4 linked regions of the Caenorhabditis elegans genome follow. The protein of the gene in region 1 interacts with the protein of each later gene in a pairwise test. Each region holds a gene or a part of one and is shown in the gene's direction. Other genes may lie near its edges.

Region 1 (7,238 bases):
GCAATTTCAGAGCGACTTTTATTCTGTTCAAAGTGCTCCTCTGCCGCTAAAAGTTTTGTGGGGGCCTAGAAAATAATGATGCGCTTTTATGAAATAAACTTTAATTACAGAATGTGAAGGAAATAAATGTAGAAAAAACAACTAACCAAATGATCGAGAGGGACCTGGGCTCCAGTATGTGAGTCCTGAACCCACTCCTCCACAAACTCCTTTTCCTTATTACCACTGTCCATCCTAGCACGTCATACTATGGCAAAATATGAAACTGAGCCTCACAAGGTCTCTGCCCATCGGCGATTTCCCCCTATTCAAAACCCATTTCTTCTCACTTTTCATGTTGTATTTGCCTCCCAAACAATTAGTTGTTGTAGCTGTCATTGAATGACCTGCGGGTGCCTGTGAGCACCGGTTTTCAGGCAGACAGGATTGTATTCTATTAGTGAGTAGACGAAAAGGAAGAAACAACGTCTGATTACGTAGGCAACGACCAAGCATCGATACATTATTCAAGGATCAGAAAATCAAGCTCAATTGTTTTGGAAATTTTTAAACATCACTTTTTGAAACTGTCTACCTCTTGGACTACACGTTGAGGTGCCAAAAATTAATTTCGGAAAAAAATCACAATAGCTAAAACCTAAATTTGGCTTTTTTTTCTCAGAAAGTTGATAAACATATTATGTGTGAAACTTCTTTCAAATATTATATTTGAATCAGGGATGGGCGGCAAACGATTTTTTCCGGCAAATTGCTAAATTGCCGGAATTGAAATTTTTGGCAAATCGGCAAACTAGCAAATTGCCGGAATTGAAAATTTTCAGCAAACCAGTCAACCGGCAATTTACCGATTTTCCGAATTTGTCGACAAAAAAACTTCCGAACGGCAATTGCCGCCCGCCCCTAATTTGAAAAGTTTTTGTATAATACGGTTCGACAGCCGTACACATTTTTTGTTGTGTAGCTCTCAAATACACGCTGTGATTTGAGAATCCATGCATCTGATCTTTTGCAGAGTCTTCCTATCGAAAAGAGCAAATTTCTCAGTACCCCTTGATCTTTTGTAGAACTGCTCATTCACAGCATCTAATCCCCCCACACGTCTTAACATAATTAGCATTCCTACATTAGCTACTACATGTGTTGATTATTTGTCTAACAAGATAGAGATAGTGTATACATACTTCCGCTCTCATAAAGACCGGTCATTTTCCGTGCTCATTCTCACTCTCGCAATGTTCTTCCCACACCCTTGATCCTAAGGAAACATGCTCCTCAAGAATAATCTCTTGAAAAGCGTGAGCGATTGTGGTAACAAAAAATCATGAGTATCAATGAAAACAATTCAACGGAATTTGGATTTGGGTGGGTGTGAAGGCGCTGTAAAAAAATGTAATATGAATTTAAGACCTCTATCTGCAAAAAGGTACAATGTAATTTTACAAAGTATTCAAGGTTTCCCTTGAAATAATTTTATAAAAACATTCGTACTAAATATCGAAAACTGCACCAAAACTATTTGCCGAGTGGATTTATCAGTTTCCCGCAATATTGGCAAGACTATCAGGTTATATGATATGATATTAGTATGAGTGCACCTCCACAAGAGTAAAGATGCAATGACTAAGATCAAAAAATTCCATTCCGCTTTGAGCACAAAAAAGATTCAGCGCTGGTAAACTAGTTCTCACCAAGTTTAGAACATCAAACAATTGACGCAATTTGTAGGTCATAGACTGGCAGGTTTTTGATGTTTTACATGACAAGTTTGAGAATAATGAAAGCAATCTTCATACATTTTAATAACTTTTTAAAGAGTTTTTAACTGATATCTTCCTAGAGCAACAAAAACAGCTTATATTTGCAAACATAACCATTTAAAGTTGAAAATGATACTTTTGCCATTGGGTTTTGAATTTGTCAAAATCTTGTTATTAATTTATTTTACTCATGTAGTTTCTAGAAAACATGTCATTCGTCCTGAAACCCCATGGAGCATACGTTATTGTCCTGTCAGAATGTTATTACGTAATATATTACTCATGACATTTACACCATATACAAAAATCTATTTATTTGCAAATATGTTCCATGATTATTTTCTGAGCAACAACAATTATATCATAGTCTAGACTTCACAGGGATAATTAATGTTGTTGGGAAGAAAAGTAAGAACTTTAGAAATGGTGATTGACCGAGTGAACTCTCAAATATCTATTTTTGTCTTTGTAATAACTCTATGAGTAATGAGGAATGAGGAACTGAATTTGTGACTGCAAATTAATCAGAAAGATTATTTAAAGAAGAAAGATATTTTGCTGTAGTTTGTGATGGCTGCTGAAAGACCACCGGAAGACTTTTGACATCGACCAAGTCCTGAAAGATCACGTCCCTCCAGTTCTTCAACTGTAACCCTTGTGAATACTAGAAAGTAAAAAACAAAAAAATAACAACATGTCAACATAACAACACGCCCTCCCCCTCTTGCTCTGCTCTTCCAAACACATGAGCACACACACACACAGGCACACGCAAAAAATTTGGAGACGCATCACTCGAAGAAACCGGAATTTGGGACAGAGGTGGTAGTAGAGGAGAGGGGGCGATGTTTAACTGATTGCAACGGGAAGATATATAAGCAAGAGCATGTATTGGGACAATCATCACTCACTCTGACAAGCTTGAAATGAACACCAAATTTTCAATTCTCTTTTCGCTTTTGGCGGTTTCAGCACTTGCGGTGGCTGCTGAGGAGAATGTGGTATGTATTATTTTTATGAATCTAATTATAAATATTTCATTTGTTCCCCTTTTCTAACTCTTATATTATAAATACTTATTTTTTAATTTTAAAACATTTCGTGCTCACTCACAAGCAATTGCATAACTTGAATATGAATTAAGTAAAATATAGGAACTTCTTAATATATGTTTCAAATAGTTTATCGTTTGACTTCATTATTTTACTACTGAAAATTTAGCAACAGGGGAGTATTTTGAGCTGCAAAAAAGTCGTTCTGAAAAGTTTTCAATGAATTTTTCACAACTTTCGAACTATCGAGGGCAGTAAAAATGTGCCAAGTGTGAATTTTTGCTGACTTTCAAGAGCTTCTAGCATGTTTAGGAGCTGGCTAACAATCGTAAATTTTTTTGGAATTTTTAATTTTTTGAAAAAATCTGAAATTTTTTCACTCAAGGGGTTTTTCTGATTTTCAATTTTACGGGCTTCTAAAGTAATAAAAAAAATACACTAATAGCAACTTCAGATCGAAATTTTTCTAGTTCTAAGTTCTCCTCTGCCGCTTAATTTTTTTTGCAAGGGCCTATTTAGAAGGTTTTTTGCAAATGAGATATTATCCAGAAGACTAAAAAATTAAGTTGAAAAATTAAGTCGTTCCTTTTTCAGTTCCTCCGCGCTCGTCGCCAATCTTCATGTGGATGCGCCATTCCAGCTGCTCCACAATGCAACTGCCAACCAGCTCAAACCAACACCGCCCAACAATCTTGCTCCTGCGCTCAAGCTCAACAGCCATCAAGCTGCGGATGCGCTCAACAGTATCAGCAACAACAGTGTGCACCAACTTGTCAGAGCTCCTGTGAACAGAGCTGTGTTGCCCAGCAACAGGTTAGTCAAACCAAATTCAACCCAGTTAGCCATTTCATATTATTTAAGCCAATCGCCCAGTGCCAATCATCTTGCTCTTCCACTTGCCAGTCCGCATGCGCTCAGCCAGTTCAGCTTCAGCAGCCAGCTCAGCAACAGTGCCAACAAGATTGTCAAGCTGCTTGCCCACAACAACAACAACCACAGCAACAGTGCCAGCAGCAATGCCAGACGACATGTCAATCCGATGATCAGTACTCTCAACAATTGATCCAACAGCAAACCTACGCTCAGCCAGGACAAATCCCAGCCTACACCGGAAGATCCGAGTACAATACTGCCCCACCACAACAGCAACAAGCCAGTCAATGCAATACCTGCCAAAACTCGTGCCTTAACACATGCCAGCAGCAACAGCAGCCAGTGCAACAGTGCCAATCATCATGTGATCAATCGTGCCAGCCACAATGTGCCACGCCATCTGGCTCCGCTTACAACCAAGTCAACTACCAGCCACAGGCCCAGAACAACTACCAAACCAACAACAACTACCAACAGCCAGGAGCCATTCCATCATACCAAGGAGCTTCCCAGACTGCTGCACCAACCTACCAGCCATACAGAGACACCAATGTTCAGGTAACATATTAATAGTATTACTTCTAAATCTAGATTTAAAGAAATCCAACCTAAATTTGTAGGTCGGAGGAACCATCTCCCAGTGCAACACTTGCCAAACCCAGTGCAACCAGGAATGCCAAGTCCAGCAGACCCCAGTGAACCAGTGCGCTCCACAATGCGACGCTCAATGCCAGCCAGCCTGCTCCCCAGCTGCTCCAGCAGCTCCAGTTCAAACGCAACAACAAATTCAGCTTACCATCAATGTTCCAGTTGCTCGTCAGTCCCCACAGTGTCAGCCACAATGTGAGCAAAGCTGCAACACCCAATGCATTCAGCAACAGCAACCAATCTCGCAGTGTCAGCCAGCTTGTCAGCAGAGTTGTTCGGCTTCCTGCAGAAAGTAAATTAACTTTAATTATTAATTTTTGGGAAAAAATAACTTTGTGATGGTTTTTTGTGTATATTTTGATAAATAAATTGTTTTCTACATATGTTCATCTCCTGCATCATACATCTTCACTAAATATTTTATCATTATTATTCCCTCTTGGGATGATAATTACAGAGAAATTTCTAGAATAGAAAAATTTATGAATCATTCAGTCATGTAAATTTTAGCTTTCAATCTCTATAATCTGCGGAACATCTATCTTCTTTTTTTTCTTTTCCACTCAATTTCTGAAACTGAAGTTTTACCACAAAAGCTAAACCCACCAATTACGTGTTATATTTGAAAAGCGGTAAGAAACTTAAAATAATGAACGGTCATCAAGGGTGTTACCTGCGTCAATAAGGGTTTTCGGTGTTTAATTCCAGTCTTTTGGGAATATTAGTTGTTATAGATTTTGACACAAAAAACCTCCACGCAATAATAATTAAACATTTCGTACATAAATCCTGCGTGTGAAACTTTTTGAAAAATTTTATTAGACAAAATGTTTTATTCATATCATATCTCAATTTAAATATCTCGAAAATCGTCGTTGGTTTCCACATCGAGGCCTCTGACACTGTTCATGGTCCTTGAACAGCATTTTTATATTGCATGTGAAATGAACAGCCGTCTGAGATTTTAGAAGTGATATTTTCCACACGATTCTTAAAGGTAGAGTAGCGTCAGTGGGGAGAGTGTTAAAAACTACTCATTTTATAGCAAAATGACCAAATACCATAATAAAACTTTTCAAAAATTTTTAAAGAATTTTTTGTTTACTGTCAAAAAGTGGCAATTACTCAGTTTTTTCATTTGCCACTCATAGTTTTGAAAGTCGACCAAAATTTGTTTCCTACATTCTTTATACTGTAATTTTGTCTTGGTTATTCGTCTTGAAACATTATAGAACGTCGGAAGATGCGACATTGCCTTAGATTTCCTCAAAATCTTTTTTTTTTTTGAATAGGGAAATTTGCCAAAACTTTGACCGGAAATTATGAAAATCTAAAATTTGTTGAGTGTTTTATTATGATATTCGGTGGTTTTGGGTTATTATAACTGTAGACAAAATTCCCACTGGTGCTATTCCACTTTTAACTTACCGTGTCCACATCCAATGCGAACGCGTGAACCTTAATTCCAGCTGATAAATCTCCTTGATATGATATATCGGGTAGAATGTTTGGGAACACCGAACACCCATTCTCGTCGATTATTTGAATCTTTAAATGATACTCTACTATTGAGTTGTTATCGACCTGCTCTTACCTTCCTTGTTCCTATTTCTTCCTCCCCGCTGTCTGAAATCGTGCAATTATTGACCATCACACAGAACAAGTAGTTTTTGTGATCGCCACTATAATTACAATTCCACGAGTGATAAATTTCATCTCCAATGTTCACTTTTGATGTCACAATTCGTCCAAGTTTGTCTGATCCATGATGTACACTGTACTTGCATTCTGGTTCAGGAAACCTACAACGATGGTTCAAAAAGAAATAAATTGAATGTTTTATGTTTTTCCTGATTTCAAAGACGATATCAATCCCTCCGCAATTGCCATACGGCAATTTTTTTGTCGACAATTTCGGCGAATTCGGCAAATGTTTTGCCGATTTGCAAGAAATTTAGAATTCCAACAATTTGCCGGTTTGCCAATGTGCCGGAAATTTTTATTCTTGACAAATTGCCGATTCGCCGTTTGCCGGACATCAGTTTTGCCGAAAATGTTCAGAGGAACTTTTTCTCTCTTGAACAGTGCTTTTTTTAAAATTTTTCCTCGTATTCTTTAGATATTTTCGTAGAACTTGTTTTTTTTTTTCAAAAAACTCCCCAGTTTCTCGTGCAACTCAATTCTCAAAGGAAAAATAGTCAGTCCATTATCTTAATTCAATATTGTTCAAATCCTTATCTAGTAACTCCATACGCACACATCTATCGCTTCTAGCCTCATAGCCATCAATTATGATTTTCAGATATTCTTCTCGTTTATGACTATTTTTCTGCGTTTTCGTGTGTGTCGAATGTCTGCTAATAAAACCCCTTGATTTGTTACCGCTGTGCTGAAATTTTTGGGCGGAGTCTGCTGCTGTGCCACCTCTACCCTATGAGCTTCATTAGGCTTGTCGACGACACATTAAGCTTTACTTTTCGAGTGTCTATAAAAATATTTTATGCGCAAACTTCTAGCTTTTGTCAGAAATCTAACAAATGCCGATTATTGTTCTTACACGTACTCCCCAATTAGTCTAGCGAAGTTTGTCTGATGTTTGCTACCAAATATATACAAACCACACTTCCTTAAAAGACAAAGGCTCGCCGATTTGAGAAAAATACCCAACTACACCAAACGTTGCCTCAGACGTGCCAAATTTGACATTTTTCTAAAAGTACATAACAACTAATGTTTAAATTAAATGCCTTGCATTTTTAACAATAAAATTCCGAAACTGTGCTCCCCGTAGTGAACATAGACAGACTAATGGTGAGATAACTGATATGAATGCTTAATTGACTGACATCAATCGTAGTTGTAAGAGAAAATTTCATTTCTCTGGTGCTGATAAGATCAAGGTTCGGGA
Region 2 (8,870 bases), on another chromosome or scaffold:
TGATCAGAGAACATGGGGAATGTACAGAGTTTCTCAAAATCTAAAAATAATACAGAACTTTGCTTGTATATAGACAAAAAGTTTGTCTGTCTTAATTAATATTATTCGGATTAAAATCTGGAGCGATAAACGTTCCACCGGTCTCGAAACAACTTTAATTTCAATTTCATATAAATATTTTTGAGCACTCCTCATTTTATTTACCCACCAGTAGAACATTACTTGAAGAAAGTTCTTTGAAAGTTAGCAAAGTATACAAAGAAGAGAAACATATATTTTTCTATTGAACATTTAAAATCAGCGCTTGTGTAACGTAAGGCTTGCGTCAAAATTTATTGAAGAGACCACCAATTGAATGTAAACAATTTCCAATTTGCCAGAAAGATAAACCAAGTTTTTTATCAATTTGAAAGTTTGGAAAGTATAATGAGAATCTCGTAGTTTGTTTTGTTTTCAATTGCAATAATTAATTTTAGGCCAATAAAAAAGTACCCGTCTTCCGGAATCCGAATCATAATTCACAAGACTGTTTGCTCCAACAATGCAAAACAAAAGAATGACCAATATGGTACGGCATCGAACAGGCATACCGAGGTGAGGTGCGATGCGGATTGAACACAATATTAATATCGATACCCAACATGTCGAAAAAGGATTTGGCCTCTTCGAATGTATGTGTGTAGATGAATATAAATTTCGATCAATTTTGTTGGGCAATCCGCATGTTGTCGTCAATCTTTGTAACTTTGATACTTGAAAACGTTTTTTCTGTTCAGGTTTGTTATAAAAATTGATGGGGACTGCAATCTTTTTTTTATAATGGCCATGTAAATTAACAAATGAATAAAATACCGAAAATATATTGTTTTGAACTGCATGAAAATGTTGCTTTTTTCAATTTTTTCAGTTGGAAAAATTCATCCAATTAGTTCCCCTATTCCACCCATTATATCTAGTTGAAACTTCTCTTGTCCTACCTATTTTACACGTGAAATCGCAGGTTTATCGCGTGATTTTTCTTTTTTATTTAAGTAGCGACAGGTGTTGAATCGCCGCCCGGTTAGCTCAGTCGCGAGTCGCGAGTCGCGGTAGAGCACCAGATTCTTAATCTGGTTGTCGCGGGTTCGAGCCCCGCATTGGGCTTAGCTTTTTGTAAAATGAACATCGTAAGAAACTAAACTGATATTTTAAAAATGCTTAATTAGTACGAAATAAATTATTCTGTTAAAGAAAAATACTGTTTTAAATTTTATTGAGCATTCGAAAAGTGATATTGCTGGGATGGCTCGAAAAACAATTATTCATGTTTAACTCGTTCGACTTGGTAATACCTTCTAAGTATATTAATTATGTCGTTGAACTTTTTACGATAATTTTTCAGTGTTGCCGAATTCTTGAATTCCCTTTGAACCCCTCTTTAACAGAATTACTCATTTTTCTGACCAACGTATAGTAATGTTATTTACGTGTCACATCTTACAAGTCATGCAACAATTATACAATGTTTATCGCTTATTCTAATAAACAACTGATTGAGATCCTAGCACGGAAGTAGTTTTGTATCCCAACAACCATCATTGTTTTCCAAAATACTCTCATGTGAGCAGGAACACGCAACTACTTATTACACTGATCCCCCTTGCGTATCAGGTATGTAATTGCCACCTTACCCACGTTACAATGAACTTTGATAAATTGTGCTCCTATAGACGTGCTCGCGGAGGAAGCTGCGACGTCACGCAAGAAGTGTGAGAAGAATCATGTACATTTGACTCTGTGTTGCTACTAAAAATTAAGTTAATCCCAAACTTTTGATCTGTGAGGGTTCAAAAAAGAGTTTGAGCTTTTGTATTAGCACTCAATGATCAGAATGCTGAAAAAAATGGTCGGCACTGAAAAACCACTAAACAATATTTTCAAGATCAGAGTGACAAAATAAAGCAATCATTCTCAAAACAACTAAAATTGATTTACTTTTAGTGAAAAAATTTCATAACTTTAGCTGTTGGAAATAGTTTGAAATTGACGAATTCTACAACTAAGTGGAGTTTTCTCAAATATTTTTTTTGTGAACAGCAGTTCTTGGTGTTCCATGGAGTTACACTTTGTTTTCACACAAAATGTTGACTTTGAAAAACTCTCAAATTCTTGAATCTGAAATATTTTTTGAATTAAAATTCCATCCACCTAAAAAAAAAAGAAAACCGGTTGCACTTAAAAAAGGGCAATAAATTTGTGCCAACCCAGAATTCAAATCGCATTCCCTCATCTTTGGCAGCATTCCAAGACGGTAAACGAAAAACGACGTGCAACACAGTAAGTGCGTTTTCAGATATCAATCTTTGTCCGCCATGCAATTCCAGCCAACATATCCAGTTTTGAAGGGCAATGATGCAAATTATTGGCTTCAGATGAAAGCCGTATGGAAAATTGTGTGGCCACTGGGTTGACGGGCACGCTTCGTCTTTTCACGCTTGTCTGACGTCGCCGCCGCCGCCGCCGACGGAGATTGATTGTATCGCTCCAATCGAGTAGCGTAAGCTCGAAATGGGGATGGAAGAACATTGCATATTCATTGACAGTTTCGACAGACCTCGCATTTCTTTTTTTTTTGTACCTATGCTTTTGATTCATTGTTTTTTAACTAACTTTAATTTTATTTAACTTGTGAAAAACTAAAACAATATTGAATATTGCGCATTCAATTTAAAACCATATGTATTCATCATTTCTTTCACATCACCACAAAACAGTTCAGCGTCACATAATTCCAGGTAATCTTTTAATCCGTCACTCTACACCACATTGACCACAATGATGCCTGCCACAGAGACCAGCGATTACCATGCCACGTATGATGCGGCTATGCAAAACGCTGAAAACCGTGTTTTTCATCTTTTGCACTCTTTGGAATGGCAACTTCATTCCGAAAAGGTTAGAGGCCGAAAAAGTACTGCGGGGAAAAAGTTTTGAAAACGAACCAACGTATTGGTTCATCAATAGATAACACTGTAAAATGAAAGTTATCCTTAAAAGTTTTGATAGTCAAGTAAATAATCATTGATATTCGCCAACCAAATGTAATGGGAAACTCTCATTTTAGAGGATTCTGGTGTTTTCTTACTTATTGAAAACAAGAAACTGATGTTGAAATTGGATGCGGCGCAATTATGGAAACACAAATGGCAAAAGCGTAACGGTCGCGGCAAAACTGATAGGCACTTTTACCTTGATAATTTTCATTTTTCAGATTGTTTCGAATACATTAACAGTTTAAACTTAGAGTTTATCATTCTCTGCGCTTTCACATTTTTCCCAAAAAAGTTACAGTAGGTGTAGGATACCTAGTGATAAAGCTCGTGAAGTCGGAGAAATAAAGTTAGTTGCAAATAATGCGATTTTGTAAATCTTTTTTGAATGAACGATATTCGAGATATACAAGAATTTCTAACAACATGTCGTGTTACCATAATTGTGCCGCATCCTGTAGAACCCAAAAGAAATAATGATAAAACCGAAGATAAACTTGATCCTTCAATTTTGGTATGCTTTATTCAAATTCGAGCATTTACAAAATGCAGATACTAGAAGTAAAAGTTTTTTCTGTTAATCTGCGCTTTTGAAGCAACTGTTTCTGTTATATGTCATTGAAATTTTTTTAATGTTGAAGACAGTAATAATGTAATTGACTGTAATTGTTCGATAGCTCTACATTAATTTTAAATCAAAAGTTTATTTCCTAATGTAGAAAGGACAACTTTTAGATCATAGTTGATACATCTAGCGCTCTAAAAGTTTGTTTTCTATGTTCAATTTTGAGAAATTGTGTATTGTTACATGCAATATGTCAGCCCCACAGTTACCAATTCCTAATATACCTAGGTATGTACCTAATAATTCAAATTCAAACTTCACAATCCCACGATACTGACACACTGTTACATCGTTATAGGGATCACGAGAAAACATGTATTTTTGAGTATGAGAATAAATGTGCGATTTCGTTTATCACCCTCATTACGTCAGAGTACAAACTCCCACCAGTGGCCAACATGATATTGTTGTTTCAGAAAACCGGAAGCATTTGGAGCATGAGATGCAATGTTATGGATAATTACATTTTCCGCTACGAAGGGCGCATTCCGAACAGAACTTGTGCTGAGGTAATGTAATCAGGGCTTGTTAATGGAAAAACTGGAAAAGAATAAAAATGGTGATCCTTGACCGATAAATGAAGGGAGAATGAGTCAAAGTATGGGAATGAAACCTAGTGTAGATACAAAAAATTTTTAAGTCCACATCAATTTAGTATAGGTTTTGGTAATTCATGAATTATTGAAATATTAGGGTATATTTTTGTCAATTCCAAAATTTATGAAAAACATTTCCTTGTTGAATTTTGATTTATATTTGATCAGTTCAACATCCTAGTAGAAAAAATTTGAAACAATTACTCCATTTTACATTTTATGCTTTACATAATATATGCTTATATGCAGTGTTCTATTTTATTTTCTGAAATAACAAATTACTCCATGATTTTCGTTTTCCTATCGTGAAACAAGCTCTGAATGATTTCTTGAACTCTTATTCTCTATGTAATCTATTTACTGATACTTTTTTAGAACTAGCTATTTGAACCCTCAGTGATCATAAAATTGCAATGTTCATCGAAAGACTGACACATCAACTGTCTTATTTTAAAGATTTTCACCACGCAAACATGAGCGACAGATCAGATAACACGATTTTGGAACGTGTTTACTTTGGTAGCGTTTGACTCTGCTTTGTAAATCGTTGTGTGCGGAAACAGAAAAATAATTAGAGACTAGATTTTTCTAAGCCCGAGCTGAACAGCTTGGGAGATAAACAAATGAGACAACATTTCAAAGAAGTGGTGAAATTTTGTACCATGTCAGAAACTCAGAAACTCTTAAAACTAAAATTACATATCAAAGTTTAGGTTTCTGCAATGATACATCCGCAAGGGCTTCACCGCAACAAATGGGACTCCCAATCAGCAGGAACAAGCCTTGTCGAAGAGATCAGCTATGTCAGTTTAACTTCTATACTTCTCCAAAAATCAAATTTCAGGATACATCAGTGATTCTTCACAAAACAAAGGGTAGAATGATGGGCTTGATATCTCCACGTGAAACACTTGATTTGTGTCGTTTCGCATATGATCCTGTTGATGGTTATAAAAAGATTAAGACCTGAATTTTACATAATTTTTTTAGGCAGCCGTTCGGTAGTTATGGTTAGTGTAGATCATGAGAAATCGCCAAGAATTGCTGGTGTGGTTCGAGCCCAAACTTATCCCACACTTCTCATGCTTAATCCCCTGTAAGTTTTTTGAGGCGCAAAATGCCGGCCTCACGCCGACGCTGTGTTTGCAATAAAATGCGAAAGTTAGTTATTTGAAGCGGCCGGCACGTTCGGTGTTCCGCAACTTGGCGTAAAATAAGTCTCTTGGTGTGTGTGTGCAAAGTAGTACGAAGAGATGGTTGTTTGAAAGCAGCCGACACGTTCCTGGTTCCGCGCCGCACTATCATCCCCACAAACTCTGCTCCCATTTACTAACAAAAACTTCAATATTGTGTTCCCAACTAAAACTTTTCAAAATTTCCAGAGGCGACGGTGTCAAGATCACATCGATTGTGCAAGCAGATTTGTACCTACAAGGTGTTCCACAAACCATCGTTGATACATTAATGCCAAAGGTATACTGATTATGTACATGAATTAATGCTTTTGCTGACAAATCATCAGCTAGTATCAGAGCTCAGTTTTTGTTTTCAGATTACAAACTAGAAAAATTTTATCAACATTTGTTTTTCTTGAGTCGTTTAGTGGAAAAGATTAAAAGCATAAAGTATACGCACAAATTGACTCTAGTTTGCGAAAATTTCATATCATTTACATCATATCATAACTAATTAAATTTCAGGGAATTGCGTCATTTTTTGAAGACCTTCAAAAATATGCCAGCAAAGATTGCACGAAAGTTTCATTGAATCATCAGCTGACAGGATGGTGTGCTGCCCATTTGGAAAACTAGAACTTACCTGAATGATAACTTTAAATGTTTTTACCATTTATGTTTTGATATTTATATACACTTGTCTAAATTAGGATACCGAATAAAAATTTGATTTATTTTATAGGGTTGGGAAACGTTTTACAATTTCTAGGATGCGGAAAAAAGTTAGAGACCAATAGAATCATTGAGAAATATAAAACATTATTATGCTGTTTAAATTCTCAATACAATATTGTTTTTTAAGCTATTTTTGTTTTTTATTCTATTGAAAATAGCAAGACAAGTAGATTTTGTATGCACATTTTTATTGAAAACCTCAGCTGACTGGTGACACAAAAACCAAATCAGAAATTTTTCACACAAGCTTGCAAGTTTTCCATACTTTTGAAAATTGATACTATTGCCTAGGGCTCCTATGAGGTTGCCGCAACGGCGTCGGCTGCGCGACGTCTCTCACGCCACATGTATAGTGCGGCGCGGAACGCCGAACGTGTCGGCCGATTCCAAATAACTACTTTTCGCACTAAGTTGCGCACACACCAAACTACTCGTTTAACGCCAAGCTGCGGATCCACGAAAGTGTCGGCCGCTACAACTACCTACTTTTCGCACTTCATTGCACACACACAGCGGCGTCGGCGTGAGGCCCGCTTGAGGCCTGCACTTCGCGCCTCGCTCAGCTGGAAGCCCTACTATAGCCTGAAATAGACAAACTACAGCAGCGAAAAATGGTTTTTTTTTCTGAAAAAAATCTGAAAAATCGATTTTCCAAAGCATCAAAAACAAGGTTCACCTTTTTATTTATTCATAAAAAATACATGCTCATAAATACTATAGTTTGGTTCAGGAGCTAACAAAATAAATTATAATCAACAAAAATAGGGCACTACATAAATAGGGAAATCTAACAACGGTGAATTGGATTGTAGTTAAAATTGGAATTTAGGTAGTTGTTAACAGTAGCTTACTCGTAGAAAAGATCTTAATGGAGAGAAAGTCTGATGTGTGGGGTATACCACGAGGTGGCAAGCGTAGTGAAGCAACTAGAGAAAAAGGGGGCGGGTATAGAGCAATCGAGGACAAAGAGAGAGAGGAAAGAAGTTACTGGGAGTTATTCATTTTTTCGATAATACGGTCATTATTTCTGTCTAAGTAGTCGAGAAAATCTTCAACCTCGGCTGGAACAAATTTGAGATCCTTGTTATGTTTTAAATCGTTGATGTAGTTGCGAATCGGTTTTTCAAAATCCTGAAAATTAAACAATTTTAAAATGTTCACAAACAAAAAACTGTCTACCTTTAACTCTTCCAACTCCAAGGAAAGAATTTTTGGCGCATTTTTCGGGAAGTTTTCCAATACAAATTGTACTAATGGTTTCTCTCTTATCTCGACAATGTTGCAACGTGCTAGGCATTCTTCTGAAGCGCAACAAAACTGCTCCTGAAAAAAAAAACGAATGAAAATTTTACTGATATTACTTTTTTTTAATTTGCAGCAAACCTGGAACAAGTCGATCACTTGCATTTTTGGCACTTTTCCAGCTTTGTACAACTGAACGCTGGGTGCTGTTAGGACAGCATCCCTGTTCCAGACCCAGTCTCGTGGTTGGATGGACGCATATTCTGGAAAGGATAAATTTTAGTAATAACTATAAGATTATCATCTCAACTACCTTTGTATGGGCAAGTCATGGACTTTGTGCAAATTCTATTGACTAAAAATATTATTTGGTCGTCTGATATTATGACCGCACAGTTCATCGAGGAAGAGCAGGCAGAAAGGAGAAGTAGGATTGCTACCAATTTACTCATTATTGCTGCAAAAGTACAAGTATTTTAAAAAAATTACACTAGAAATTTCATAAAATAGAGAGGCAGAATGAAAAATAATAAGAAAAAATTAACATAAACATCACAGTTCTAAAAAGATATAGTGGATCAAGAGCATTTTATAGTAGCTCATGACGCTTTAAATTTGAACAATTAGCATGACACTCCAACCCCGCCCATTTTTGAACTCCACCCCTTGTTTTCTTTTTTTCTTATTATCCTCTTTCATATTTTTTAGCTTTGCAACAAGGGCGGAGCAACGGTTTTGTTGTAAAGAAGGATGAAAGGTGATAGAAAAGAGACGCAGAATTTGAAGACAACAAGGTTTTGGATAGTGAATCAGAATGGAATTCGGGCTAGATTTAAAAAGCAAAATGAATATTGCATGTCAGAATTATCTCAAGATATTTAATAAGGGGAAACTTTAACTGAAATGAGTAGAAATGAGCCTGTGAGTAGAGAAAGGCAATTTCAAATAAAAACCACACAACATAAACTTATTTGTATATTATAATTTAACCCCGTGTAATCAAAAGTTAGCTGGCTATTGTAAAAAAATGTTTCTATTTTTGATATATAATAGGAAAAGATTTAAAGAGTTTATTGACAAACATTACTTTTGTTTGTTTCTAATAATCTACAAGTTGGAAACTGAGATTTCCGTTTTTTGAATATCTTAACATTTCTCTTTATTACAGCATTTACTTTTATATTTTTGTGGACACCTCATAACACAAACCTATGTATGAGCAATATTAAATTAGGGAAATCAAACCAAAAATGTAATAAACATCATTTTAACTATTGCCCAGTTTACAGTTCATTTGCGAAATTTTTCAATAGTCCTTATCCAACTTTCTCGAAGTTTTTAAGGTTTTGCAAAATCTTTTTCAACCATTACTTAGAAGTTTTTTGATTTATGTCAACTTTAAGGTCAGTGAATATTATTTAATATACAATTATGTAGGTTAAAAAATAAACATTGGCAAAAAATTTAG
Region 3 (7,200 bases), on another chromosome or scaffold:
TTGGCTCCAGCCTTGACAGTTGTTGTCAACTTTCCCAGTGTGATCAATTCTTTCAATGTCTTGTCTTTCTCGTATGCCATGGATACACATGAATCGATCCAGCGTTGATCGTGACGAGCAAATTCGAAACGAGGTGGACGAGACATGATTCCGTTGCGAACGTTGAAGCTGGTTCCATACACATTTCTGGAAGGATGAAGAGTTGAAATAGAAAATATTCAGAAAAGCTTCAAGACCTACTTTTTGGAAGCAAAATCTGGAATATCTTCTACTGATACGGCATGCTCTTCTTCGGTGATGTACTGCATATACTTCTTAAGTGAAGACATGTCGAAAGCATCCTTATTTTTGCATTTCGCATCAGAAGCTTGAGTTTCTGCAGAGGAAGAACTAACAGCTCCAACACTAATACCACTGTCCACATCCTCTAACTCGCTGCGATCGATGATATCAGGTTCAACTGAAGAGTCCAAGTCTTCGAAGAGTCCTTCAATTCGAGAATTCATCTGATCTCCTGCCAATGCTTTTCCAAGAAGAGCATCAAGAAGTGATTCCTCCACTTCGGCTGGAAAATATTTTGTTACAGAAAAAGAGCAAAAAACTATAAAACTGCTCACCTTGACCATCGTGAAGCTCGACAATTACTTCATTTTCGGAAGGGATGTCCACTTCTTCAGAGGATAATTCGTCATCTTCAAGTTCATCCACATTTTCAAGCTCATCATCGTCTTCAAACTCATCGTCGTTTTCAAATTCATCCTCGTTTTCATTTTCTTCGATTTCACTCAAAAAGCCGCTAAAATCTTCTTCATTTTCGGAATCCTAAAATTCTTGAATTATACTTTATTCTTGTTAATCCAGAAACTCACCGAATAAGAATCATTCTCTTCAAAAAGCGCAGCCATTGTTCCAAAAATAACTGAGACAGAATATTCGATTTCGAAGGATTGTCGAGGGAGCAGGATTTGGGACAAATTCCAGATAATTGTCTCAAAGTTGTGCTACCGTACTTTAAAGGTACATTGCTATTTTACATTAACAGGTTCCCGAATGGAATGCCATTTTTAATTTCTTGGGATCTCTATTGGTGATTATACAACTTTCGCAAATTCATTTTATTTAGAAAAGTTACTCTCGGCTTATATTTGACATTTACTTCAAATAAGAATATTATCTCTTTTTCCTCTTTCCCTTCCATTGAGACCCGAAGAACTCGGGGGATGTCCAACTGGGGGGATTACCAACTCGGGGGATTGGCCCCGCCCACAGAACCGTGGCTTGCAATACGCCCATTTCTGCAACTGCCGCACGGTTTTAAAATTATTTTTTCTTGTTAATTCTCGCTCTATTGAGAAAAATACAGTTTTAAAACCGTGCGGCAGTTGCAGAAATGGGCGTAATGCAAGCCACGGTTCTGTGGGCGGGGCCAATCCCCCGAGTTGGTAATCCCCCCAGTTGGACATCCCCCGAGTTCTTCGGGTCTCCTTCCATTGCTGTTTGTCTGCATTTGTGCGTAAAATGAGATGGCTGCACACATTTTCGAATTTTATTTTCTTTCCCTAAATTTCTATTTTTCATTCTATTTTCACGCTGACGCTTTCGTAAAATAATGGATATGGAAGTCGATGAGGCAATATCTGGTACTTCTTCTTCAAGACTTGCACCAATCGAAGAAGTGAGCTAATTTTTGAAAAACCTAGTATTTTAAATCGAATTTTTCAGGTAAAACCAACTCCAAAGCAAATTAAACGCATTGCGGCTCACAGTCACGTCAAGGGACTCGGAATTGACACAGAAACACAAGAAGCTCACTATGAGGTTTCTTTTTCAATTGTCCAATTTCAATAACTACTTATGAAATAAAGCCTATGCTAAATAAAATATTATTTCTACAGGCTGCTGGATTCGTTGGCCAAGCACCCGCCAGAACAGCTGCATCAATTGTAGTTGATATGATTCGATTGAAGTGTATGGCCGGACGAGCTGTATTGATTGCTGGACCACCCGCCACTGGAAAAACTGCAATCGCGCTTGCAATGTCACAGGAGTTGGGTGACGGCGTTCCATTTGTGCCACTTGTTGCAAGCGAGGTCTTTTCCAATGAAGTAAAGAAAACGGAAGTGCTCATGAGAAGTTTCAGAAGAGCTATTGGTCTGCGTGTTAAGGAAACCAAAGATGTGTACGAGGGAGAAGTTACAGAGTTGAGCCCCGTCGAAGCTTCAGATAATTCCGGAATGGGAAAAACCATCTCTCATCTTGTCCTTTCTTTGAAAACAGCAAAAGGAAGCAAGCAACTGAAATTGGATCCAAGCATCTATGACTCGATTTTGAAGCAACGAGTAGAAGTTGGTGATGTCATCTATATTGAAGCGAACTCAGGAATCGTTAAACGAGTTGGACGGTGTGATGTATATGCATCTGAGTTTGACCTCGAGGCTGACGAGTTTGTGCCAATGCCGAAAGGAGATGTTAGAAAGTCTAAAGATATTGTTCAAAACGTGTCTTTGCATGATCTGGATATCGCAAATGCCCGTCCACAAGGACGTCAAGGAGATGTTAGTAACATTGTTTCACAGCTGATGACTCCAAAGAAAACTGAAGTTACTGGTGAGTGATTGATAAACATTAAAACTCGAACCTTTCAATTTTTATTCTGTCTTTTAGATCGTCTTCGTTCTGAAATCAACAAAGTAGTCAACGAATACATTGAAAGTGGAGTGGCTGAACTAATGCCTGGTGTTCTTTTCATCGACGAGGTTCATATGCTTGACGTAGAATGTTTTACCTATCTCTATCGCGCGCTCGAGTCCCCAATGGCACCCGTCGTGGTTTTTGCAACTAACCGTGGAACCACAACAGTTCGTGGACTCGGCGATAAGGCACCACATGGAATTCCTCCAGAAATGCTCGATCGGCTGATGATTATTCCAACGATGAAGTATAACGAAGAAGACATCCGGAAGATTCTCGTTCATCGTACCGAAGCTGAAAATGTTCAATTCGAAGAAAAAGCATTTGATCTTCTAAGTAAAGTTGGAGCTGAAAAATCATTGAGATATGCGTTACAATTGATTGCTCCAGCTCGTCTTTGTGCTCAAACGTGTGGAAGAGAGGTCATTGAAGTAAGTTGCAGAATGTTGTAGTTCATGTATTAAATAAATCGCTATTCAGGTAGAGGACGTGGACCGTTGTACCAAATTGTTCATGGATCGTGGGGAGTCGTTGAAAAAGGCCGAAGAAGAGATGCGACAACCTAAAAATAAGAAGTGATATCCATTCATATCCGCACAACGACTCGGTTTTCCAATTTTGATTTTTCGCCAATTCATTTCTTGTTTTTTAAAATTATTTTTCTTCTTCTACAACTTATCTCATTCCTCTCGATCTTTCCTCAGTTGTTTCCCCACATGTTGAGGATCTTGTTATTTCGTTCCGATAGATCCCCCATTTTGCCCAATTTGTTGTTCGATTCCTATTTTTATACTGTTCCTAAAAAGAAAAAAAACGGTTTCAAGAATTGTTCGTAATGTTCACCAAAGCGGAAGGAGTGCATAGTGCACAGAATCGACAAAGAGGGACCCCGGCAATTCGTAATACGTCTTCTCCACGTCCCTGACGCCGCGGCATTTCCCTTCTTTTTCTCCCGTTTCTCTATCGATTCTGACAGAGCACATAGTCCTCAGCAGTCGTCGTTTCGCTTATTCCTCGCTCTATTCGCCTCCTCTTTGAGAAAACGAAGAAGAAGGGGGAAAGAAAACGAGGACGAAAGGAGAAGACAAACGTCTTCTGGGAGAGCTTTTGCTTGGAGCCCCCCGAGCACAAGAAGTAGACTCGTATGCTCATTTTTGCAAACTTTCTGTGTTTATGTCTCGTTCTCTTTTTTGTTATAGACTTATTAGCAATTTTTATAGACACATTCAGAATATGGAAGTATGGAGTTTTTCAGTTTTCCCATCATTAATTATTAGTAAGGGTGCAAAACAGGGGTGTGCGGCAAATTTGCCGAATTTGCCGAATTTGCCGTTTGCCGAGCTCGGCAAATTTGCCGAATTTGCCGAGCACGGCAAATTTCAAAAAAGTAGATTTGCCGAATTTGCCGAGCTCGGCAAATTTTGAGATTTGCCGCACACCCCTGGTGCAAAAGTACTCGAACCAATAACTTTTCATATGCTAAAAGAGCTTCTAAATTCCACCTGTTTTTTGAATATTCCTTCAAAAACTGCAACATTGACTTACGTTACACATGCTTATATCTTTCAGGCTAAAGATTAAGTAGAAGATTAGAACATATCAGCTTTTGATTATATGACACACTTTTTAGACCAAAAAAGTTACATTCTGTTAGAGGACATACCGCTTGAGTTTGACTATTTACGCAAAGTGAACATTTGTATGGCGAAATGAAGTTAAGAAAGCATTGTTCTTGAAAAGTGTAACTTAGGTCACTGTTTCAAAAAATTACCGACCTAGGTTCCAATAACATGCTACATCAACAGATATCAATACATTTGATTCTTTTAAAATGCCAACAGCTAATTCAAATTTCGAAACAGAACATTGATATTATATATTAGATCGTATTTCATTTTAACGAATCCTTACCTACTGAAAAATGCGTATTCGATGATTTTCCATTATAGCTTTTGTAAATTTACTACTGATATTTTTGATCAAGTGGGATACAACTGCTAAAGTCAACCAAGGGTCTCACGCTTACCGTACTTCTCTATTACACGAAAAAGTTATAGATAATTTTTTCAAAAGATTTTTCAAGTCTGCAAATTCTGATCTTTATTTTGTTCAATTTGTGAATATTCTTTCCCGTCAAAATCAGATTGAGAAAAAAAGGAAAAATTCAGTTAATTCGCAATTTCTCCTTCCCTTTCAGGCCTCTCGCTTTTCCTCCCGTCGTATCTATAATTGAATGTGCTAGTACTACCAATCGGTGTAGTTTTCGAAGAATGGATTCTACTTTTATGGATTTAGAAAACAATATTATTTGCACCATTTTAATAAATAGTCATGCAATTGGGGGCTTACAATTAGAGAATAGACTCGTGAAATATTAAAAAATCACTTATCTCATACATAAGCACTCAAAAGAAAAAGTAGAAGAAGAGTCTTGACATTCAAAATCGTCTCCACTTTCATTTTATTTTCCATATTTTCTTTCCAAACCCTTCCATTCTTTTTTAGGCATGACTCTTCGTATTTTATATGCATAGAAAGCCTAGGAGTAATAGCGGAAAAGGAGAGACAGGGCAGATTGATGGGTAGATTTCATGGGTTAGGCACCTTTTTGAAGATGGAAGAAACGAATGGAATGGATAATCTGAAAATCAATATATTCTTAGATTCAGTATTTCGTGTTTCGGCTGAAACCCAAACTACCGGTCCAAATATCCAAAATATCAAGTTTCCACTTGTTGACACACAAATTTTTCGTTTCTTCCGTTTCTTCTTGTCTTTTGCAAAACCTTTTTTGACTAAATGACGTAGTATATTGCCAAAATCTAAGTGAAAAAATAACCTTTCATAGTCTGTTTTGAAACAAAACTAAAATTGAGCCAATAGATTCAATGCCTAATCAATTTTTAATGAGGTGCATAGTGCAAGAAAAATAATAATATATGTATATACAGAAACAACCAATTTTTCTCTTATCTCAACTAAAAAAGTAGATAAATCTTTCTTTTATTTCAATATCTATACAAATATACCATACTTCCAATCTTGTTGCTAAAATTTGTTTTGCACTTATTAAGCCGAACAGTGTCTGACGAATCTTGTTTTATGACTCTCTAGTTAATGAATGTTTTGTGCATGTTTTGTCAAAAAACCCACAGGTACCATTAGATCACTTAAGGGAATACAAAAATGCCTTCAGTAATTTAATTCTATCAATTTTTTGAAATCCCTAACTTATCGAGAAAACTTGAAAATTTTTTTTTAACATAAGACATGGTCCCATACCGTTCCTGATTTTTCCCAAATTTTAAATAACCTAGACAGGCTCCAATTCTTTCATTTCTTGTCTATTTATTCATTAATCACAATGTCCCTATATTTTTAAGATTAGATGTCTTGGAGAGACCGTGATTTTGATCCACACGGTGGCCGAAATGCTTTCCGATTAACTGATGAATCGAAACAGTCATCTTCAGAACGAGCAGCTTCAATGAGAGCAATGCGTTCATTTACTCAATCAATTGAAGATGAAGGTCCACCAGAATTACCAGCTTCACTTGACATCGATATGATTGAAGGAGTCAGTATGAAAACATCTGATACAAATGACACAATCATTGAAGTTAAGCCTGGAAAGGTGGATCCTCAACTTGGAGAGACCCAGAAATATAAAATGGCAGTACCTGGTCCCGGGCACTCTGAACAAGAACAAGAACTTCACAAAAGTTTGATAAGGGACGAAGAAGAAGATGCAGAAGTTGAACAAGTATTTGCAGCATCTGCAGAACCAGTTGTGACACCTCCAAAAAGTTTGAACTTCGCTGAAACAGCTGAAGAACTTCGGCACGCGTATGATCAGAAAATTCGAAAAAGGCCTACAACTCCAACATCTGCGTGTGTTTTAGATGGAATCGCATTCTTTGCTGGAAGTGTTGATGGTTCTAATGATACAATTCCAACAGATGCAGAGAAAAAGATTAAAGTGTCGATTCCAAGTGGTCGAAGGAGAAAAACAGAGAATATGTCATATTCAGAATTTTACGAGTCGATGGCAAATCAGATACCCGGAGGTGGTGGTCGAAGGATGAGTCAATCTGGAAGAACAACTCCCCTTCATGACTATGAAGGAGATATTCTTGATGAAAATCCACAATACAAGGATAAAGTAAGTAATTAATTATTATTTTAAAAAACCGAATACAAAAAGAGTCTAGAGCAGATATGGACGGCAATTAGAATTTTCGACAATCCAGCAATTCTTCAATCGCCAAAAATTCCATTGCCGCCCAAACATGGCACAATTATTAAAAACTGCTTAAATTTGATTGTAAATTTTTTCGAAACTTGAAAAAGCTATTTATAAGTTTTTCAAAATTTAAAATTAGCCAATTCTGCTTCATGAATTGTCTGCTGTGCTCATTTTTCGGACACAGCTTATCAAGTTTATAAATATTTTGACATCAAATTCTTACTATCGTTCACATCTGAAAAGTTAAAAATGTCAAAATTATT
Region 4 (7,902 bases), about 10 Mb from region 1:
CCCAAGCACCTGCCACAACAGCAATGGTTCCACTTCCATCGAACATTCAAGAATATCGATTTATTATTCCTGCTGGATCCATGCTGACAAAGCCAACGACTTCCACATCAGCACCGGTCATTTTGAGCCAGAAAATCCAGGTTAACCAGTTTTATTTAGGAACTTAAAAGTTATCAATCCGTTTTCAGATAACTTGCCCAACAGAATGTCAGCCAGCCTGCAGTTTTGTGTGCACCAAGTTGCGTCCAACTCTGAAAGTGATCACCCAAATGTTTGATTCTAAAACTGATGAGACCACATGCAGAACAAGTTGTAGCAGTGCTTGCTTGTCCGTTTGCGCGTGAGTTTTGAATTTTTTTGAATTATGTCTATAAATTTCCGGAAAAATCGAGCTATTTATTTTGTTACAGTAATCTACAATTTCATGAATTTATTGGTTTTTCAAATAAAAACTAGAATATGAAACAAAACCAGCCATCGAAAACTAGTGTTACAGCCATATTATCAGGAGATATCGTATCACATACCTTTTCTTCCAATTTCTCATCTACCCCCTTAATATTTCAGTTCATCTGGAGTTCCGGGAAACGAATGCCAATCGAATTGCGCGCCAGCATGTGAAGACACTTGTACTATTGTGAAGCCCGTAAGTGAACAACAAAAAAAATACCGAAACAAAAAAAATGTTTCACGGCTTATAAAAAAGAGCAAAGTTTGCAGGTCGCCGTTGCCACAACCACTCAAATTCAATCGACGTCATCGAGCGGTGGTCAGTGTGTTTCTGTTTGCATGCCAGCTTGCACTCAACAATGCATGTTTACTGTTCAGGTACGTTGGGAAGACTTGTGGGAATTAGATATTAAAATTATTAGGTTCAGAAGTATCAAAAAGTAATTTTACAGATGCAAATCGCTTTGTCACAAGCCGTTCCTCAAACAACTGAGAAACCAACTCAAGCCGTGCTCATTCCAATTGCACCAGTTTCGATTGTAGTTTCAGATCGTGGGTTGAGCAGATCTTTGAATTGCATAAAATCATAAAAATAATAATTTCAGCACCCACCACAACTGCCGCTCCAACTGTCATTACTCTTGGAACTATTTGTAGGAACGAGTGCCTTGTAAGATTTAAAAAAAAACTGTGGATTTGGCTCCCACTTTTTGCTTAAGTTTGGCATAAATAATATTCACTTGAATCAGAAGTTGGCTGGATTTGGGCAGATTTTGGGCAAGACTTGGATTAAGACTGGTCCAAAGTTTAATCCAAGTTTAACCCAGCTATTGCAAAGCCCACTTCAAAGGCGACACCAGTAGGCGTAGTTGTTTTTGCTTGCCTAGACAACCTACTAGCAAGTACCTAAAGTGCTAGAAAACTATTTATTATAGGCTACTGTAGTAATATTCTTGATGAATTCGGCAGAAATATCTGCTGATTGGTACATTTTAGGCACGAGCTATTGTAGAGTGTAGACATAAACAATTTAAACTCCCTGTATCTTTTTTATTTCTAAAGCTCAGCTGCTGTCTGCCCGCCAAGTGACCACCCACTTGAGATTCTCTGAAATCCTTGTATCCTCTCCCCGAGCTAAGTGAGAGCTTGTTCACAGGTTCTCGGTTAGCTATTTCGGAAACTCTCTTTCAAATCAACTCAGCCAGCAAGAGTGTGTAAAACCGAAGAACATTGTGCAAATACAAGGAAAAATATCCCCCTGCCTCCCAATAGGTACTCGTTGTTCCACACTACTTCTCTCCTCATAATTCTATTGTTTCCGTTTTAACTGTTGTGTGTTTCGAGACATTTGTTGAAACACAAGAAACACAAAAAAAACACAAAACAATAGTTTTTGAAGAGGTGTTGAAGTTGCGAGGTGTAGAAAAAACAATGAGCCTCTTCTCAGGTCATAAAATCCACGAAAAAGTGTAAAGTGAGAAGCTGAAGATTAAGGGTCAAAAGAATAAAGTCATCTGAGAATTGATTTCCACTAATAAATTTTACCGATTTTCAGATTTTACTGTATTGGCTTACAATCCCTGAAAGTGTTGTCTATTTAACTTAGTAGATCCCAATTTTTTACCTCCTAAAAAAGTTCTGTGAAACCTGATCCAACCTTAATTTTTCAGGTCCAATGTGAGCACCAATGTCTTCCTAACAATCCGAACTGTATGGCAGCTTGCCAAACGACTTGTTACCCAGTATGCCAATCGAAAATGCGTCGTCGCATGAAAGAAACGAAAAATCAACGAACTGAAGATTTTGCTCATCGTCAGTGAATAATCAATTATTTATTTATTGATTCGATTATTTTGTATTTATTTATGTACCATCAGTATTCTAATGTTTTTGGGAGTAATTTAAGATTTTATGGTAATTTGCAATTTGACGAGTTAGTCAATGTATGTAGCGAATAAAACGTATTGAATTCAACAAGCCATTATTTTTATGAACGCCAAGTCGGCCATCCCAATTTAAAACATCCAAAATCCCAATATATATTTTTGTACTTTGATACAATAATTAATTGTGTAAAGAAAATACAATCAGAATACAAATTGACATGTATCATTTCGAAAGTTCCCATACAAGAAAATTATTACATTTATCACTTGAAATTAAGTTGGTCCAAATATGTTAGAGCTAAAATTCTATTGAGCTCACTATCAGGACTCCGTTTGTTCAAACATCTTTATTTATTTCAGTTGAATAAAAAAGTTGCCGAGACATTTGAAATATGGTGATTGAATGCAAAATCAATTGCACGTTTTTCCGTGAAGAGTCTAGACAGTTGGGAAACTTGGAATGATAGCTGAAAATATGCATGTTCCCTCAATAATGTGAACCGCCATAAAAAAGTTATTGGAAAATTTCAAGACGTCTCATTGCGAATTTCAGGCCATTTGATACCTTCAAGTCTAATAGGGCATTGTCCCAATTTTCGGTACTCCTTCAAATCTTAGCAAATCAATAAAACTGGCAAAATAAACAAAAAGATACATTTATAAACGGCCTCCTATTCCAACCAAAATGGAATATTTAAACTACTTTACTAGTCTGTATTTTTAAATCAGTACTTATATTCTGTAAGTTCTAAATTAGTACAGAACACAATATCTCAGCATTTCTAGTTCAACGACAACGAAAAAACTTATAATTTCCGTTTAAATTTGTATCAAATTGAAACCTCCGTCACTATCTTCATCGAAACAATCCCAATTTGGTTCACCCCTTTGCTTTTTCCTGCCACTACAATCATCAATGTATGCTCATCAATAATCATCCTAATCACCAGCTTAATCACACAATGTCCTTTCTTCTCAAGCATGCCCCCATTCTAAAAAACAAACATCGGTGGAACAGACAAGAGGATGACCCCCTTCCGTCCTTTCCGAACTCTCCAAATTAGTGCCGATTTCCTTCCCCGCAAAAAGTTCGGGTAGCTCTCCAGTCGATTCAAGCGGCCAACAACGAACATACATTGACAATTTGTACATGGCGAAATACAAACAAACAGGATTCAAAAATTGCCTTGGGAAGCCATGGGGGCTCTCTCGTCCAGCAGGAGCACCAACGCGTCAGGCTGTCCTTTTTGCCGCGCGGAAATGCTCCGCCTCTGAGCGCGCATTCCGCGAAGCTTTTACCGCCCTCCTATCGCCCCCTCCGGAGAGCTCTTCAAGCAGTAAGAGAGAAGCAGAGTGAGAAATAGATTTTGAAGGATTTGTGTGTGTGTGTGTGAAGACTTATTATATACCATTTCTGTCTGTTAATAATCTTGTATCCGTACTCTTATTCATATTGTTCATCACTTAAATTCATATACAGTAATCCAATCCCTCCTGGATCTGAGAATTAGGAATCAATCATAAAATCTTCCCGATGGGACGCTCGAATTCTCTTCGGCTACTATTCTTATTCTGCCTTCTTTTGGCACTTTCTACTGCTGCGGTGAGTTTATTTTTGGTTTTTTGTTGGTAGTTACTTTGACTTTATTTGCTTTTGAATTGTTTGCTCGTAACTTGACCTGCTCGGTAAACTGGACTAATTAAAATCCTTTTGAAACTTTTGCGGTCAACCACTGTTAATTAGTCAGATATTTGTCTTCTCACAAAATTAAAGAGTTTTATAACTTATTTTATACGAACCATCTCTTATTAGCTTACTTTGGTTTGGTAAATCTTTATTTTGGGTGTGAACTTTGGTATTAACTGTATCGAACATTAGGTAACAAGCCTTCAATGTCTGTAACATAATTTGTAAACTAGATTGTGTTTCTTTAAGAGTCTTTGTTGCAAGTTTTAAATTTTGTGAAAATACCGTTTTTATCAGTATTAGAAAAAATTAGTTCTCTGCAATTTCTGAAAATCATTTTCTATGGATTTCTATTTTTTCGAAAAAATAATTCTATTGAAAGTACATTTTTGAAGATTACAAAACTTCAATTAGTCTATCCCTACAATATTTTATGTTGTGGGAACAATTGATGGGTTTGAAACTAGAATTTGATGACGCAACATTTTTTTTTAATTTTGCAGCTAGTGAATTCTAACAATTGCAGACTTTCTCTCTAACAGATTAATCAAAAAATAAATTAAAATTGTTTTGACCTTTTGGGAGCAATTTTATTCTAATTGTAGGAAAAATAAAAAACTTGTAAAAAAATTCAATTTGAGAATGGTTCCAATTTGGTTTTGACGGTTCAGTTTTACCATAATCCATTATTTCAAAACTACAAGGAGACAATCTTGGAAAAACGAGTCATGTTAGTATACCGGCTCTGTGACATTGATGCCTACCTGTGCGCCTACAGTATTTTTGTAGTCGACTGCAAAAAGCATGGTATGAATGTAGTAGGTCACTTTCAAGTCGAGTTTAATGCCTACATTGAGTGTCTGGTAAAAATGCTACTAAATATTGCTCTAGACAAACTCACCATTAAATCATGCATTAACCCAACTTTATTTCGAAACATTTTGATTCACATGGGCCAAAGTCTAAAGAATTTTGACAAAACTCCGCCCCGATTCTTTGACCCGATTCCTCTTCTTTTTATTCCAAATCGAGTTTTCTTCCCAAAAAGCCTGCTCATTCCAAGACAGTCAAACGAAGGTTTCTATTTCAATTTAGTCGGCGTCTCGTCCATTTCCACTGGCTCCAAGGTCTCTGTGTTGCGCGAGAGTTTGTTTCTATTGTCAGGCAAAGGTGAACACAATGAAAACAGAAAGTAAACACCCATTCGCCAGAGAGAGAAAAAGATTCGGTTTTTCTCCCAATTCTTTAACATCATGACCCCGTCATACACACAAAATGTCTGGTGAAATGGAAATTGGGTGAGAAGGAGAAAACATTTGAAAATTTAGAATGTTTCTTCTTCTTCTTCTTCATGGGATGGTGAATTAACAAAGGGATGCACAAAAATGGAAAAAGCGGAAACAGGAAACATCTGTTTTGAAACCGATATTGTTGCGAGAAACCGTAATTCGAAAACCGGAAGATCCTTCCATTTTTGGATTACTAAAATTACTAGACATCAATAAAAAATTAGTTTTTTTTAACTATAGCTTATGCTTCAATTTTTATTGGATCCAAATATTTATTGTTCACACATAGTCTCTTGGCTCTGGTACATTCTCAATTAAAATTCAGTAAAAACCCCGCAGCTTCCTCGAAATAGCGTAACTTTCTGTCAAGCTTTTTGCAATTTTCTGACATTTTCCTGATGAGAATCTTTTCCAGGAACTTACCTCCAGCAACTTATTCGATCATATCTTTAGAAATTGCCTAATTGTTTGCAGAAAGTTGATCCAAAATCCCGAGTTCACCGGGAAGGCTAAAGAATTTCCAAACTTTGAAAAAATTTGAACTGAACATTTTTTCATGCTGCCAAATCTTGATTATGTATCTTACCTCCCGTAAACTTTTTTATCTGAAAATCCACAAAATCTCCAGGTATATTGCCGAAACCGCCTCAGACCCACACACACGCAATAGTTCGCCCCACCAAGTCCTAATGTTTGATTACCGGGGGCGTCGTCTTAAAAGAGTCAATAGATGAATGACCAACCGGGAAATCGGATATCCGATATTCGAGAATGATATCGCCAAGGAAATGTGTGTGTGTATGTGTGTGTGTGGGATAAGGAAAGGTGATAAGGGGGCCCACTTATCAATTGTCACCTTTTCAAGAGTTTTGTTGCACTACGTAATAATAAAATCAGCGATTTCCGTATTTGGTTGGAGGGAAAATTAACGGTCTCCTTTGAGCAAATGGAACTAGATAAAAAATAAAATGGTAACCTCACATTTTGGAAATTACTTCAAAATTGAAAAGCAAAATTCAACTCTTTTTGATTTCTCTGTACAAGAAGTTCCTAAAATTTTTATCTATTTGAAAACTATTGTTCGTTTGGATTACTCTACATTACAGTACGGATTACAGTACGGGAGTGTTGTGTATTCGAAGGCGAGACGAGGAGAGAAGACGAGTAGTTTATTACATTACTAAACTAAGGAATAAATAAGTTAGTTCATAGAGTTCACGTTGCACGATCTTCTTAGCCACGTCGTGGGTCAATACACGTTGATACCCAACAGGGAGGGTCACGGTAACAGTATAAATTGATGTTCTATTTGTTAATTAATCATCAACCAACTCAACTTTAAGTTAGAATTTCTATGACTTGACATACTTTAAATTGGCATTTGTTGGGAAAATGTGTCTTTTTACACAGTAGTACAACTGTTTACACTGTTACCGTACCCCTACCGTACCCAGCCACAATGTTACAGTAGCACCAGTAGCATTCAAGATAAATTTTGCAACAGTACTGCTACAGCATTCATACCGTACTACTACAGTAACCCTAAAGTGTCCCGTCATAAATCTTAATTACAGCCTTTTCGGATTAGAAACGATGCAAAAATTGTCCAAAACTTTTAAAATCCACTAATCGATCTTTTGATCTCATTTCCCTTCCCGATATTGGCTCTCTAAAAATCTCTCCGAATTCATAATACAAGGGTTGTTGTTGAGCAGAACTAACATATTTCGAGTGGTTTTTCTCACGAAACAACACATAAATCTATCGTTTTTGTGTATGTGGACACTCTCGTCTAGACTCGGAATATGCCTTCCGCGCCCGATAAAACAAAGAAAAATTGTGTATTGTTTGTAGATTTGAAAAATAAAAAACGTTTTAATAACTCGAAAATGGGAAAACACATTTTAAAATTAGAGTTGATAGACTAAACTGTTTTATATACGCTTTCCTCCCAATAGACATGTGTCTACGTGACATATTTAGTTTCCAGTAATTATCCTGTCCATTTCCAGAGTCGCCGTTTAAAGCGTCAATGTGGATGCTCAAACTTCTGTAACTGCCAGCAACAACCAGTCTTCTTCGCGCAAATCTCCTTGCCGGCATGCTCGTGCCAACAGGCGCCAATTTGCCAACCACAATGCCCGAGAGCAGAAATCGTAAGTTTCAGAGTTTTAGAAATATGCTAAGCAGTTTATTTCAGAACTCTGACTGCTCCGCTACATGTGTTCGAGCATGTATTCCATCTTGCTCCAAAAGCACTGGAAACACATTTGCATGTTCCACAACCTGTGAGAGCACTTGCGATAAGACTTGTGCGTCAGCAGCTCAACAGGCTATGTCGCATATTCAGGTATACTCTGTATCGATTTCAAACTGATTATAAACTATTTCTGTGTTTCAGGTATCCCCACCAAATCCTCAACCACTTGTTCCAATTGCCGCTGCTCCAACAGTAGACGACTCCTGTCAGAATGTGTGCCAGAACGTGTGCCAAGGAGCATGTGTCTCACAAAACTCTCCACCTGCAGTGTGCCAACAAACTTGTAGACAATCCTGCCAATTCGGATGCGCTACCAACGAACAATGTATG

What was found.
Region 2: the proteins of abu-11 (region 1) and K02D3.2 interact in a two-hybrid assay, tested with the Caenorhabditis elegans proteins (one large-scale study listed by BioGRID).
Region 3: the proteins of abu-11 (region 1) and ruvb-1 interact in a two-hybrid assay, tested with the Caenorhabditis elegans proteins (one large-scale study listed by BioGRID).
Region 4: the proteins of abu-11 (region 1) and appg-1 interact in a two-hybrid assay, tested with the Caenorhabditis elegans proteins (one large-scale study listed by BioGRID).

What each region holds. Positions count from the first base shown.
Region 1 is NC_003280.10:189,980-197,217, reverse strand, and holds abu-11 (Activated in Blocked Unfolded protein response), read left to right. Parts: upstream 1-2,659; 5' UTR 2,660-2,683; coding exon 2,684-2,758; intron 2,759-3,403; coding exon 3,404-3,622; intron 3,623-3,670; coding exon 3,671-4,240; intron 4,241-4,302; coding exon 4,303-4,626; 3' UTR 4,627-4,709; downstream 4,710-7,238. Other genes in the region: chs-2 (chitin synthase), read right to left, coding at 147-233; T01D1.8 (ZP domain-containing protein), read right to left, coding at 5,179-5,286, 5,759-5,878, 5,925-6,132.
Region 2 is NC_003284.9:13,705,912-13,714,781, reverse strand, and holds K02D3.2 (START domain-containing protein), read left to right. Parts: upstream 1-2,774; 5' UTR 2,775-2,817; coding exon 2,818-2,934; intron 2,935-4,070; coding exon 4,071-4,163; intron 4,164-4,963; coding exon 4,964-5,053; intron 5,054-5,094; coding exon 5,095-5,197; intron 5,198-5,240; coding exon 5,241-5,346; intron 5,347-5,632; coding exon 5,633-5,723; intron 5,724-5,950; coding exon 5,951-6,061; 3' UTR 6,062-6,163; downstream 6,164-8,870. Other genes in the region: K11E4.1 (Fungal lipase-type domain-containing protein), read right to left, coding at 493-588; K02D3.1 (uncharacterized protein), read right to left, coding at 7,145-7,291, 7,340-7,483, 7,544-7,665, 7,716-7,854.
Region 3 is NC_003283.11:9,975,106-9,982,305, reverse strand, and holds ruvb-1 (RuvB-like 1), read left to right. Parts: upstream 1-1,503; 5' UTR 1,504-1,609; coding exon 1,610-1,675; intron 1,676-1,722; coding exon 1,723-1,818; intron 1,819-1,895; coding exon 1,896-2,607; intron 2,608-2,664; coding exon 2,665-3,122; intron 3,123-3,171; coding exon 3,172-3,270; 3' UTR 3,271-3,515; downstream 3,516-7,200. Other genes in the region: tofu-1 (Schlafen-like protein 1), read right to left, coding at 1-186, 241-565, 618-822, 870-905; unc-41 (Putative stoned B-like protein), read left to right, coding at 6,080-6,853. UniProt on the Caenorhabditis elegans protein: Possesses single-stranded DNA-stimulated ATPase and ATP dependent DNA helicase (3' to 5') activity suggesting a role in nuclear processes such as recombination and transcription.
Region 4 is NC_003280.10:10,322,424-10,330,325, forward strand, and holds the start of appg-1 (Activated in Blocked Unfolded protein response), read left to right. Parts: upstream 1-3,870; coding exon 3,871-3,939; intron 3,940-7,220; exon of another isoform or gene 7,221-7,305; intron 7,306-7,324; coding exon 7,325-7,468; intron 7,469-7,512; coding exon 7,513-7,662; intron 7,663-7,713; coding exon 7,714-7,897; intron 7,898-7,902. Other genes in the region: idpp-4 (Intrinsically Disordered Protein, expressed in Pharynx), read left to right, coding at 1-140, 189-340, 568-646, 721-828, 903-1,002, 1,056-1,120, 2,121-2,270.